2 linked regions of the Coturnix japonica genome follow. The protein of the gene in region 1 binds, or shares a complex with, the protein of each later gene. Links are inferred from orthologs where the notes say so. Each region holds a gene or a part of one and is shown on either strand. Other genes may lie near its edges.

Region 1 (6,488 bases):
CGGATCAAGAGCTGCTGGTCTGGTATGGGAACTCACACAACACCTTCCTGGGCATCCCAGGTGTGCCGGGGCTGGAAGAGGAGCAGAAGAAGAACAAACATGGTAGGTAACAGCAGAAAAAGCCACGTCATTCCCTTCTCACCCCAACCCCAGCTCTGAGGGCAGGGTGGGCATGGGGCAGGGTGGGCATGGGGCAGGGTGGGCATGCATATGGAGCTCTGAGCAGCACAGCATATCCCATGCTGGGCACACAGCCTTCCATATCCCCACGATCCTATAGAGAGGAGCCCATCAGCCTCACCTGTAAGACAGAGCCCACCTCCCACAGAACAGAGCCTGCAGCTTGGGCAGATCCCCAGCAATTTGGGACCCCATGGTCCACTGCCTGAGCAAGTGTGGAGCTGCCAGGTGGGGAGGAAGGAGCCCCAATACACCGTGAGGTGCTGGGATGCACTCATCCATTTCCCTGCTCCGCATTTAACCTTATTTCTCTGAATAGCCAGTGCAGGAGGCTTTGGCTCTGTCTATCCCAGCTGTGCCATGTGCAGGCAGTGCAGCTCCTGAGCCTTATTGGGAACGCTGTGCTCTGAGCTGTGTCCTGTCCCATTCAATTCCCCCTTTCCTTAGTGCTGCATGCTCTGAGTGAGCCCCAAAGCAGATCCCAATGGGGCTGGGGGAGAAGCTGGGACTGGAGCAGGTTTGTTACAGCCACAGATCCCCACTGAGAGCTGCTGGTCACAACATTGCTGTGGGTGCAGTGTGCAGCATGGGGTGGTTATATATGGCACAGAAAGGGGTGTGAGCAGGGCACAACCTGACCGTCCATCCCCTTGTATTGCTCGCAGAGGACTTCCATGCAGTGGAGACCGGGGCCAGCACCACGGGTCGCATGCGCTGCGTCATCTGCCACCGCGGCTTCAACTCCCGCAGCAACCTGCGCTCCCACATGCGCATCCACACCTTGGACAAGCCCTTCGTGTGTCGCTTCTGCAACCGGCGCTTCAGCCAATCCTCCACCCTGCGTAACCACGTCCGTTTGCACACCGGAGAGCGGCCCTATAAGTGCCAGGTGTGTCAAAGTGCCTATTCCCAGCTGGCCGGGTTACGGGCGCATCAGAAAAGCGCCCGTCATCGACCCCCCAATGCATCCCTGCAGGCTCATTCGCCTGCCCTACCCGTGCCCCATCCCGCTTCCTTGGCCCATCACATCCCCACCATGGTGCTGTGAGCCATGGAACGGCAGCAGCACGTTTCTGGATGGTCGCTGCCCACGTGCAAAGACTGGCATTGAGATGTGTGAGGAACTGGGAGCCCGTGGCAGAGCCGCTGCTCTGAGTTTGCATTGGGAGCATCAGCGTTTCCATAGGGTTTGGTGGGAAAGGGAGAATGGGAGGGCACGGCAGGACATCCCGTGTGGATTTTGCTGGTGTGTTCGGAGCTGCGGCTGCACCTGGATGAATCAAGGTTGGGTTTTATGGATCATTTGATAGGAAGGAAAATTGCTTTTGTCCTTTCTCCTCTGTGCCAGCGAGCGCCCAGCAAGGAGACGTGGCACAGCATCACTGGGACCATCAGCTTTGTCTGTTCAGCCGAGTTGGGTTTTCCTCCCTCTATCCCCAGCTGTGCCATGGGGTTTGTCTACATGCCACCAAGGGATGGGAGGCTGAGATGGGCTGTGAGACCCCCGAGGTCAGGCTGCCCGGGGCTCTGAGCACTGTGTGTGTAGGGAGTTGGACCAGGCGGCCTTTAGGAGGGGTTTGAGGGGGGTCCCTTCCAACTTGGACCATGCAATGACGGCCCAGCAGCTGCTCAGCCCCATCCAGCCCTAAGGGAGCGCTCAGCTCTGCTGCCCTCTGGGGACCGCACAGCCCGGAGCGGCTGTTCCCATTAACTTGGAAGGTTGTTGTGTTCATCCTAAATCCGAGGTGTATAAAAGCTCTCATAAAAATAAAAACACTGCGTTTTACTGCCAGAAAAGGGAAAAAAAGAAAAACCCAAGAAGGAAAATATATAATAACCCGTCACTTTAACTTTGTAAATATTTATGTAAAACATTATTTACAAGCCTTTGATATTCTATATTATGGGATTGTATACGCACAGCGCTGTAAATACATTTGTACCTCTCTCTTGTACTCGAAATAAAAAGCGATTCGGGACCGAGCGTGGTTTAAATTGGGGGGAGGGGGGGGCTGTGGGTCCAACCCCATTAATGGGTGCTGGGACCCATAGGGAGCACTCAGCCCCATAGGGATGGATGGGACCCATAGGGATGGATGGGACCCATAGGGATGTATGGGACCCATAGGGGGGCACTCAGCGCCATAGGGAAGGCTGGGACCCATAGGGGGGCACTCAGCCCCATAGGGATGGATGGGACCCATAGGGGAGCACTCAGCCCCATAGGGATGGCTGGGACCCATAGGGGAGCACTCAGCCCCATAGGGATGGATGAGACCCATAGGGGAGCACCCCCTGCCCCATTCACATCGCTGCCCCCCCCCAACCTCCCTGCCAGGAACCAAAATGGCCGCCCTGTACCCAACCCACGTGACTCTCGTTACGGCCCTCATTCAAGATGGCGTCCGGAAGTCACGTGTAACCGCAAGGCGCAGTTCCGCCTTCAACCAAGATGGCGGCGGTGTCCATGCGGCTGCCCGTGATCCGTAAAGCCGTGGGGCCCAGCCGGCCTCGGGGCGGCGAGAAACACCTGGTTGTACCCGGAGACACCATCACTACGGACACGGGATACATGAGGTGGGGATGGAGGAGCATTAGGGGACGGGGCAGGCCGCGGTTTGGGCTCTAATGGCGTCCGTTCTGTCTGCAGGGGACACGGCACCTATGTGGATGAGGAGAAGCTCGTCGCCTCGGTGGCTGGAGCTGTGGAGAGGGTGAATAAATTGGTGTGTGTGACACCGCTACAGAGCAGGTGAATATAGGGACGGGATGTGCAATGGGATGGGTAATAATGGTGTGTAATGTGTGTTAATGCTGTGTAATAATGCTGTGTAATGTGTGTTAATGCTGTGTAATAATGCTGTGTAATAATGGTGTGTAATAATGCTGTGTTAATGCTGTGTTAATGCTGTGCTCTGTCCCACCGCCAGGTACAACGGGGAGGTCGGAGACATCGTGGTCGGGAGGATCACGGAGGTGAGGAGCTGGGAGGACACGGGAGAACGTGATGAGGTCTGACAAAGAAAGAGTGAGATGCTGGAGCACAGAGAGCACTGTGCCATGCAGAGCTGCAGGAGGGCGTTGGTGGCAACCGTAGTGCCCATCCGGATCCATTGTAATGAGCTGCCGTCCAGTGCGCCCATAGGGGGAACAGGGACCCCACACTAAAGGGGGGGACACATAGGGATGGATGGGATCTATAGGGATGGATGGGATCTATAGGGGATGGATGGGACACATAGGGATGGATGGGACACATAGGGGAGTACTCAGCCACATAGGGATGGCTGGCGCCCATAGGGATGGCTGGGACCCATAGGGGAGCACTCAGCCCCATAGGGATGGCTGGGACCCATAGGGGAGCACTCAGCCCCATAGGGATGGCTGGGACCCATAGGGTTGGATGCATGCAGTGCAAGCTGTGGGACAGGGAGGTGGGCATGTCCTCGTGTGAGGCCCCATCTGTAGCACTGTGTCCTGGTGGGGCATCCTCGGTGCAGGATGGACATGGATCTGTTGGAGCACATCCACAGGATGACCGTAAAAGTGATCCGAGGGATGGAACAGCTCCCTGCGGGGACAGGCTGAGAGCTGGGGCTGTGCAGCATGGAGAGGAGATGGCGCTGGAGAGAGCTGAGAGCAGCCTGTCATTATCTAAAGTATCTTTCTGTAAGGAAGAAGGGGACTGACTTCTTAGCAGGGTCTGTTGTGATAGGACAAGGGGAAATGGTTTCAGTCTCAACAGGAGAGATTTACATTCAATATAAGGAGGATGTCTTTTACAATAAGGGCAATGAGGCGCTGGCACAAGTTACTCAGGGTGGTTGTGGTTGCCTCACCCCCACAGACATTCAGGATCAGAGCTGGACGGGGCTCTGTGCACCTGAGGGACCTGCAGGTGTCCCTGTTCATTACTGGGAGTTGTACCAGGTGGCTTTTAATGCTCTTTTCCAACTGAAATGATTCCTTCTCTGACAGCCTCTGCTGCACTGGCCGGTCATTTCTTATGGCTGTCACAGTGCTTTGCTATAGAGTCAGTCATCTGCATGACTTCCCACTTAGATTAGAGACTTAGTTCATTTTCTGAGTGTACATTAACGTTGTTTTTTCTTCACCAGGTTCAACAGAAACGATGGAAAGTGGAAACCAATTCCAGGCTGGATTCAGTCCTGTTGTTGTCGTCTATGAATTTACCTGGTGGGGAACTGGTGAGCACAGTTTGTGCAGAGAAGGACCACAGTGCTGCAGGGCAGGATGCTCTGAGCCCCTCCTGCAGTTAGCACACGTGTGGTTTTGACTTCCCATGCATTTTGCACAGTGTCCTAAGGAGATGATCCTCTCTTTGTGTTGCTGTTAATTAATGTTTTCTCATTCTACGTGACCCATAACTTTTCTTGCATTGTCCATTTTAGAGGAGGAGATCAGCAGAAGATGAGCTTGCAATGAGGGACTATCTGCAGGAAGGGGATCTCATCAGTGTATCCTTTCACTGCTTGTACTTGGACAGAAGAGTCAAAGGGATTGGAAGGGGGAACAGCCAGACCTCAGGCAGGCAGGGAAAGCTCTGTTGGTGGCTGTTGGTACAGGGCAGCATGAAGAAGTCTGTTTCCTTAAGAGGCACTGACAGGCAGAGGTCCAGTCTGTGTTTTCAGATGGGGCTGTATCACTGCACACCAGGAGTCTGAAATATGGGAAGGTATGTTGTTCAAAAGTCTCATTTTGTGCTGGTTGGATTGTATGAGTCTCTAACCCTTGTGCTTAGTGGTCTGTTAGAGGGTCAGATCTTGTTAAATACAGTGCAGTTCTATCCATGTCAGTAGAATTTCTTTGTATTTATATCGAGATAGCATCAGGATAGAGGTTTGGGGGGAGATCCTTAAGGAATAAAAGGCTCTGCAGTAGAGTATGATATTATAGCCCTTGTCAGTAGGTTAGGAAGAATTTTAGCTCCTACATGGGAGCTCAAAGCAGAGTTCCTCATTGCACACATTCCCTCTGAACTGCTGCTGTCCCTCTCCACAGTTACTGCATGAATCCATTTCTCCCACCAGTTGCTTGGGACTTGAGCTCTGGGAAGAAAAATCTTCTATCTCAAACTTTATCGCTCTTCTTCTGCAGGTCATTGTCCCCATGGCTTGCTGCTCACTCCAGGGCTCTATTTTAGGCTTTATGCAGTTGGCATTTATCTCTGTTTTTGCACATTGAAATAAGCCAAGGGGGCTGCAGTTGGGATTACTAGACCAAAGGTATTAGCACTTAAAAGATAAAAGCAAAATGTGCTTTTTGCACAGAGGGTGAAGGACAGAGACTGGATTAAGAGGGAAAGTGTTCTGCTGAATTGGGCCTCTCGCTCCTCGTTTTTCTGCAGGATGGTTGATGTCTAGTTACAATCAAGACATTATTAACATTTATGCTAAGCACTGAGAGTATTCTTCATCTTCAAAGGGCTGCACAGGGCATTAGCTAATCCTCCCAGCACTCCCAGAGGCAAGCAGGTTTTATATTCACCGTTTCACAGGAAAAGATGTTAAATTGGCTGGTTCCTGGAGTGCATGTCGGTGACTGGATATTACCTGTTGGCAGCACGTTGTCTCTCATGCTGAGTCTCATGGTCTCCTCTTCAGCTTGGTCAGGGTGTGCTTGTTCAGGTCTCACCCTCCCTTGTGAAACGCCAGAAGACTCACTTCCATGACTTGCCCTGTGGTGCATCTGTGATCCTCGGCAACAACGGTTTCATCTGGATCTACCCAACTCCAGAACAGAAAGATGAAGAAGCAGGGGGCTTCACAACCAACTTAGAGGTGAGGGGACGGGGAAAATGATGAGCCGTGTTCTACCAATGGTGCTGTGCTAGTTGAGATCCAGGAGGCATGTGAATCATTTAAGAAGTGGTATTAGATTTGTGGCAAAATGTTACTTTTTTCCAGGAGACTTGCATGATTTCCCTACATACTCATCTCTGTTCCTCTGTCCTTCCTCAGCCAGTTCCCCTGTCTGACCGGGAGGTGATCTCACGGCTCCGAAACTGCATTGTAGCTCTGGTTACTCAGAAGTTGATGCTCTTCGACACTAGCATCCTGTATTGCTATGAGGCATCCCTTCCTCATCAGGTACAGAAACCAGCGCTGTTTGCTTTATTCCACAGCGTGGGAAAGGATTGGGAAGGCTGAGTCTGCTGCTGCTGAAGTCAATAAATTAGGCAGCAGGGTTTCCTTTAGTCTTCCCAAAAGGTTTGTAGTGACAGCACGAACTTCTGCTCTCATGCATGACAGAAATTGCCTTGGATGTGTATGATGTCCTGGCCGAAC
Region 2 (5,661 bases), on another chromosome or scaffold:
GGCTTGGGGGCAATGCATTTCCTGCAGATGGAGACGCCAGTGAGGTCGTTCTTGGCCTGTACATACATCAGAAAAGAGCATGTGCTCCCAAGCCCCCACACCGTCCCCTGCTCCCCATGTGTTCACCACACTCCCCCAAGCCTGTCTCCCCTCCTAGCCCCCATCTGGAGGAGGCCTCCTGCAATGATACCAACAGTGATCAGCTGTACCTAGTGCCCAGCTGCAAGAGGCTGTGCTGCTCATTGGTGCCCAGGCTCAGCCTCACCTGCGGTGGGTACCCAGGAGAAGTGGTGATGGCCTTGTAATAGTGGAAGACTATCATGATGAGGTTCCAGTGTCCGTAAGCAAGATGCCAGCAGATCCACGCAGGTGTGTATGTCTGCAGGATGAGGGGCAGCAGGCAGATGTATACGATGGCCACAATGGAGCTTGTCAAGCCTATCACCAGTGCCACAAACACCTAAAGGAAAGGGGCTTGGGTCAGTGGAGTGTGCAGAACCTGCCCCATGCTGGCGTCTTCGCTCCCTCCCTAGGACTCGGTGTCCCCAGCAGCATGAACCGCCCCAAACCCCCCTCGCAATGGAGGTACTCACCACACCAAACCAGCGGGTGACGTGGTCCACCAGCCAGTAGATGGGCTCAAAGAGGGAGTCGAGCACCACGTCGCCGTTGGTGAAGGAATTGTAGAGCAGGGAGCGGAGGCAGAGGTGCCCATAGTGCCACAGCTGCCCTGCCTGCCGAACCAGCTTAAAGCGCCGCCGCCGGCCCAGCCGCAGGCACTTGAGGAGCAGGCGCATCACCGCCGCAAACATCCGCTGCCGGCTCCTCATCCCTGCTGCTCCGAACCTGCGGGGAAGGGGCTGGATGTGGGCAGATGCTGGGTGTGGGCAGATGCTGGGTGTGGGCAGATGCTGGGTGTGGGCAGATGCTGGATGTGGGCAGATGCTGGATGTGGGCAGATGCTGGGTGTGGGCAGGCCAGGTGTCAGGCTGCACGGCGGGGCAGGGCTCCTTCACCCTGCGCAGGATGCGGAGCAGAAGCGGGTGGCGCTGAGCCCAAAGGGATGCTGCGCTCCCGAGCTCTGTGTGCGGAGGGGGGACACGGGGCTGTCAGGCTCCGCGCCTGACCTCGGGTGCTCCCTGCTCCCATCTCGTCTTTCCCACAGGGGAGGGGGTTGGGGAGCGACACGGAGAGTCTGACTCAGAGGAAACTGGAGACGGTGAGGGCACATGGGGCGAAGAGCTCATTCCAGGGCAGGGAACGCTCCAAACCCACGGGGATCCCCTCAGCAGCCTTTGCTAATGGATTCGGGAGTGAGGGAGCCCGCACAAAACACGTGCCCTGTTCCTCACACCCAGCAGCACCTGGACGGCTCTTCCTTTTGCCTCAGCCCCGGACCAAGCTGCAGAGCCCATCGCACACCGACCCCAGCAGCTCCCCGGACAGTGCCACGCTGCGCTGTGCCAGGCCGAGCTGCGGGCACTCGGACAGCAGAGGGACGCACCGAGCCCTCGTCCTCCCGCTGAGCCTCTTATCCCACCCGAGGGCCGCGATGGGAGCGAGGAGGAACCCGAGCCGGGCCCGAAATGAGGCAAACGATCCGCCGGGTCAGGGCCCCCGGGCCATCAATATTAACGGCACGGCCGGCCCGGGATGCGGCCAAGGCACGAACCGAGCGCTCCGCTCGGCACCGCGCCAGGCAGCGGCACGGCCCAGCGCCAACACACGGCCCGGGAACACAGAGCGAGCGGCCGGCACACGGCGGGACCGGCACAACCGGCACAACCGGCACACGGCGGGACCGGGACACAGCGGTACCGGCACGGCCGCACGGCGGGTGATGAGCTCCCGCTCCCGGTGACCCCGTGCTGGGCTCAGGGCTGCCCTCGGCCGTGCCAGCCGGTCACGCCGCCCCAAGGCCGCGGGCCCGCCCCGCTCCGTGCCCCGCTCCCCGCCCCGCCGCACCCATCCCGTTCCCGTTCCCGTTCCCGCTCGCACCTGCCGCCCGCTCCCCGCCGCCCGCCGCCATGCCCGGTTCCCGCCGCCCTCACGGCACCGGGCAGCGCCCGCCGCCCCGCGCCTGCGCACTGAGCACAGCGGGCAGGGCCGGCACGAGGCGCCGCACTACGACTCCCAGCGGGCCGCGCGACACCGCCGCTCCCTGAGGTTAAAAGAGAACCAATAGGTATGCCGCTTACATCGCGGCCCCGTCGCTGAGAGCCAATAGGAGGAGGGTTCTTTGCGGGCTCACGCGCGACGCTGAACATGGCGCCACCAGCTCGGTACTGCGTGCCCGGTAAGTGCGGGGCGGGCGGCGGGGGGGGACGGGCCGGTAAGTGCGGGACCGGTGCTGAGCGAGCGACCCGCAGGAGAACGGCTGTGCGGAGCGGACGGAAACGCGGCGGGGAGCGGCACCTACGTGCGGAACGGCAACATCTTCGCTGCGCTGAGCGGATGCGTGCGGCGCTGCGAGCGGGACGGGGCGGTGAGAGCACGGCGGGGAACGGGAAACGGGGCGGGACCGGGCTGAGACCGGGTGTGTGTGTGTGTCTATGTGTGTGTGTGTGTGTCTGTGTGTGTGTCTGTGTGTCTATCCATCTGTCTGTGCCCCGCAGCTGCCCGTGGTGTCGGTGGTGCGGGATGCAGAGGCGCAGCTGCTGCCCGACGTGGGCTCCGTGGTGACGTGTAAGGTGGGTGCCGCTGTCCCCACGTGTCCCCGCGGCCGGGGCCGTGTGCTCGGCTCACGGAGCTCCGGACGGACGGCGGCGGACACTCAAGGAGCCGCCCGGCCCGGCCCGGCCCACGCTGCGCGGGCGCTGAGTGCCCGCCGCCCGTTGGTGCAGGTGTGCAGCATCAACTCCCGGTTTGCCAAAGTGAACATCCTGTACGTTGGCTCCACGCCGCTGAAATCCACCTTCCGTGGCACCATACGGTAGGGAAAGGGCAGGGGGCACACTGCGCGGTGCCTGCCTGCTGCGAGGACAGCTGCGTGGATGCATCTAGCGAGGCCTGGCTGCCGTCCAGGGAGGCCGGGGCAGCTCCTCCTGGCTCTCTCTGGTATCACATTCCTGTGTCTGCTTTTCTAGGAGGGAAGACATTCGAGCTACTGAAAAGGATAAGGTCAGCGGGGCACTGCTGGGTACAGTGCTGTTACAGCTTCCCCCTGTCCAGCTCCCCTCGTGCTGCTGCCCATGGGGTGCCTATCGAGCAGTACCTGCGCTCTCCATGCACTCCTGTCCACTCCCTCCCACGTAGGTAGAAGTCTACAAGAGTTTCCGCCCCGGTGACATAGTCCTGGCCAAAGTCGTATCCTTTCCCATCGCAGTGGGAGGGCCCACGGGCCTGGAGGGTTTGTGCTGGGCTATAGAGGCAGGGAGTCTTTCCCTTAACACAAACCTAACCAGATCTCGCTGGGGGATGCACAGTCCAACTACCTGCTGAGCACGGCAGAGAACGAGCTGGGTGTGGTGGTGGCACGCAGCGACGCAGGTAGGAATCCTCATCTCCATGTGAGGAACAGCCAGTGCAGCATGGGGAGCAAACACCCTCCTTTCCTCCCACTGCTGAGCCTCAGGGGCTGCACGAGGAGGCTTTGGGCTGCTGGGGCTGGGCAGTGTGACAAAGCAGGAAGGGATCTGCTAACTGAGGATGCCTGCAGGGGTGCAGATGGTGCCTATCAGCTGGTGTGAGATGCAGTGCCCACAGACGCACACCAAGGACTTCCGTAAGGTGGCCCGTGTGCAGCCTCAGTTCCTGCAGACATAGCAGCCTCCTCAGGGGTACAGGGACCCCAGGAAAGAGAGCTGCTATGGTGGGGTCCAGCATCTTCCATACAGCAGGATGGGTTTTGTATTTGTGCTGTAAGTAATAAATAAACGTGGTTTTTTTGAGAGCTCTGTGTTCTGCTCAGTCACTGCCCGCAGGGGTTGCTCTGGCTGCCTGTAGCCCTTCTGCTCTGGAGCTGCTGGAGGGGGCTGTTTCTCCCATCAGTGTGGGAGTGAGAAAGTCTGTTCCTGTCCTGGGGAGCAGCGAGGCTTTGAGGCTTAGTGGTACATAGCACCATCTATGGCTGCTGTGCTCATCCCCAGGATGGCTTATCACCTCAGGCCATACATGCCCTTTGTTAGGCAGAGGTGTGGCACAGCCCAGAGCCCATAAAGCACTGCAGTGAATCACTCTTTGCAGCGAGGATTGCAGAACTGTGCTTTGCTGTGCAGTCTGAGCACCTTCTGCACCCACAAGTCAGCAGCAACTTGCGCATCACAGACACGTGGTGGTGCAGGAAATGCGGTGCTAGGCAAAGTGGGAGCTCCACGTGGCGCAGTGGCACAAGGAAACGCTGACATTTAATTATTGCATATTCATCTTTTATTGAACTGGAACAAGACAACTGCTACCGCTGGACAGTTAGATTGACCCAGTGCAAGCCCAGACTCACTACAGCAGCAGTGGGGGAGGCTACAGTGACAGTGCCAAGTAGACGTTTGTGGGATGGGTACACAATGGCATCTAACCACCTCCATGATGCAGGACTAAAGTTGGCTTTGGCTGGAGGAAGCACATGGCAAATACAGATCCCAGACAACACGCTCCTTCCCTTGTCCAAAAGCAATAAGTTAAAGCAGTGGAGCTGGGTTGGGGTTTGCAGGTACTACTACTGGGTGCTGTACTACACACAGGAGCGTGCACCACAGTACAACACATCTGGTGTCTAAGTGTCCTAGTAAAAACCACACAGCCACGAGGGGACCTGGGCACCCATCTTGATCACTGCCCCTTCCTGCCTGTGTCCCACTGCTCCTGTTGTGCTTCTGAAAGAGCTAAACCAAGCAACAAAACTACAGTAGCAGTGACAAGAGCTGCCAGGGAAGCAAGAGAAGCCAGGCATGGCAAAAGATTGCTTGAGAGCATCCCCCCAAGGGCTGGGAACAAAACAACATAGGGCTGCAGTTGCTGCCTGGCAGAGCGAGTACTCCCTTTCACACCAGACCCCTGTGCACACAGCCCCTTACCCCCCAGCTCCCAGGCTGCCTGCAGAGGTGAGCCTGGTGCAAAGGGAAGGGGCCTAACCCTGGGGAGCAGCTCCAAGTTTCTACATCTGTGGGGTGTGCACAGAGGGATGGGGACGGAGGGGACTCATCTACTTGCTAACTCTGCGCACCTGGCCTCATTTCTTGACTTTGCCCTGAGCAGCAACAGCCTCCATGGCCTTGCGCACCGTCTCCGCATCTCCTAGGAACTGCATGGGCTTGACAGGCTTCAGGTTCTTGTCTAATTCGTACACAATTGGGATTCCAGTGGGCAGGTTCAGCTCCATGATGGCCTCTTCGGACATGCCTGCAAACAGAGAACGGATACTCAAAGGGAGGGCAAGGGAGAGCTCTGCATGTATAGAGCAAGGTCAGTGGGGGATCCTGAGCAGCACGCAGAGCTGCCGTACCTTCCAAGTGCTTGACAATCCCCCGCAGGCTGTTGCCATGGGCTGCGATAAGGACTCTCTTGCCCTCTTTGATCTGCGGGACAATTTCCTCATTCCAGAAGGGCAGGGCCCGGGCGATGGTGTCCTTCAGGCTCTCACACGTGGGCAGCTGGTCCTCAGTCAGATCAGCATAGCGACGATCCTGCAGGAACACCACCACTCCTGCACCACAGCCCAGCACC

The links. Proteins that work in one complex are often made in the same cells at the same time.
Region 2: EXOSC2 (region 1) and EXOSC1 share a complex: the UniProt entries of both Homo sapiens proteins name them as parts of the RNA exosome core complex. The link is inferred for Coturnix japonica from reciprocal best matches to the Homo sapiens genes EXOSC2 and EXOSC1.

What each region holds. Positions count from the first base shown.
Region 1 is NC_029532.1:4,556,905-4,563,392, forward strand, and holds the start of EXOSC2 (exosome complex component RRP4), read left to right. Parts: upstream 1-2,593; 5' UTR 2,594-2,632; coding exon 2,633-2,757; intron 2,758-2,830; coding exon 2,831-2,932; intron 2,933-3,110; coding exon 3,111-3,156; intron 3,157-4,298; coding exon 4,299-4,388; intron 4,389-4,592; coding exon 4,593-4,658; intron 4,659-4,807; coding exon 4,808-4,876; intron 4,877-5,804; coding exon 5,805-5,981; intron 5,982-6,161; coding exon 6,162-6,290; intron 6,291-6,488. Other genes in the region: PRDM12 (PR domain zinc finger protein 12), read left to right, coding at 1-102, 846-1,228. UniProt on the Homo sapiens protein: Non-catalytic component of the RNA exosome complex which has 3'->5' exoribonuclease activity and participates in a multitude of cellular RNA processing and degradation events.
Region 2 is NC_029521.1:19,501,426-19,507,086, forward strand, and holds EXOSC1 (exosome complex component CSL4), read left to right. Parts: upstream 1-2,265; coding exon 2,266-2,296; intron 2,297-2,369; coding exon 2,370-2,485; intron 2,486-2,615; coding exon 2,616-2,690; intron 2,691-2,843; coding exon 2,844-2,932; intron 2,933-3,086; coding exon 3,087-3,120; intron 3,121-3,255; coding exon 3,256-3,306; intron 3,307-3,404; coding exon 3,405-3,489; intron 3,490-3,658; coding exon 3,659-3,765; 3' UTR 3,766-3,892; downstream 3,893-5,661. Other genes in the region: palmitoyltransferase ZDHHC16, read right to left, coding at 1-59, 206-460, 594-846, 1,999-2,267; PGAM1 (phosphoglycerate mutase 1), read right to left, coding at 5,168-5,337, 5,441-5,621. UniProt on the Homo sapiens protein: Non-catalytic component of the RNA exosome complex which has 3'->5' exoribonuclease activity and participates in a multitude of cellular RNA processing and degradation events.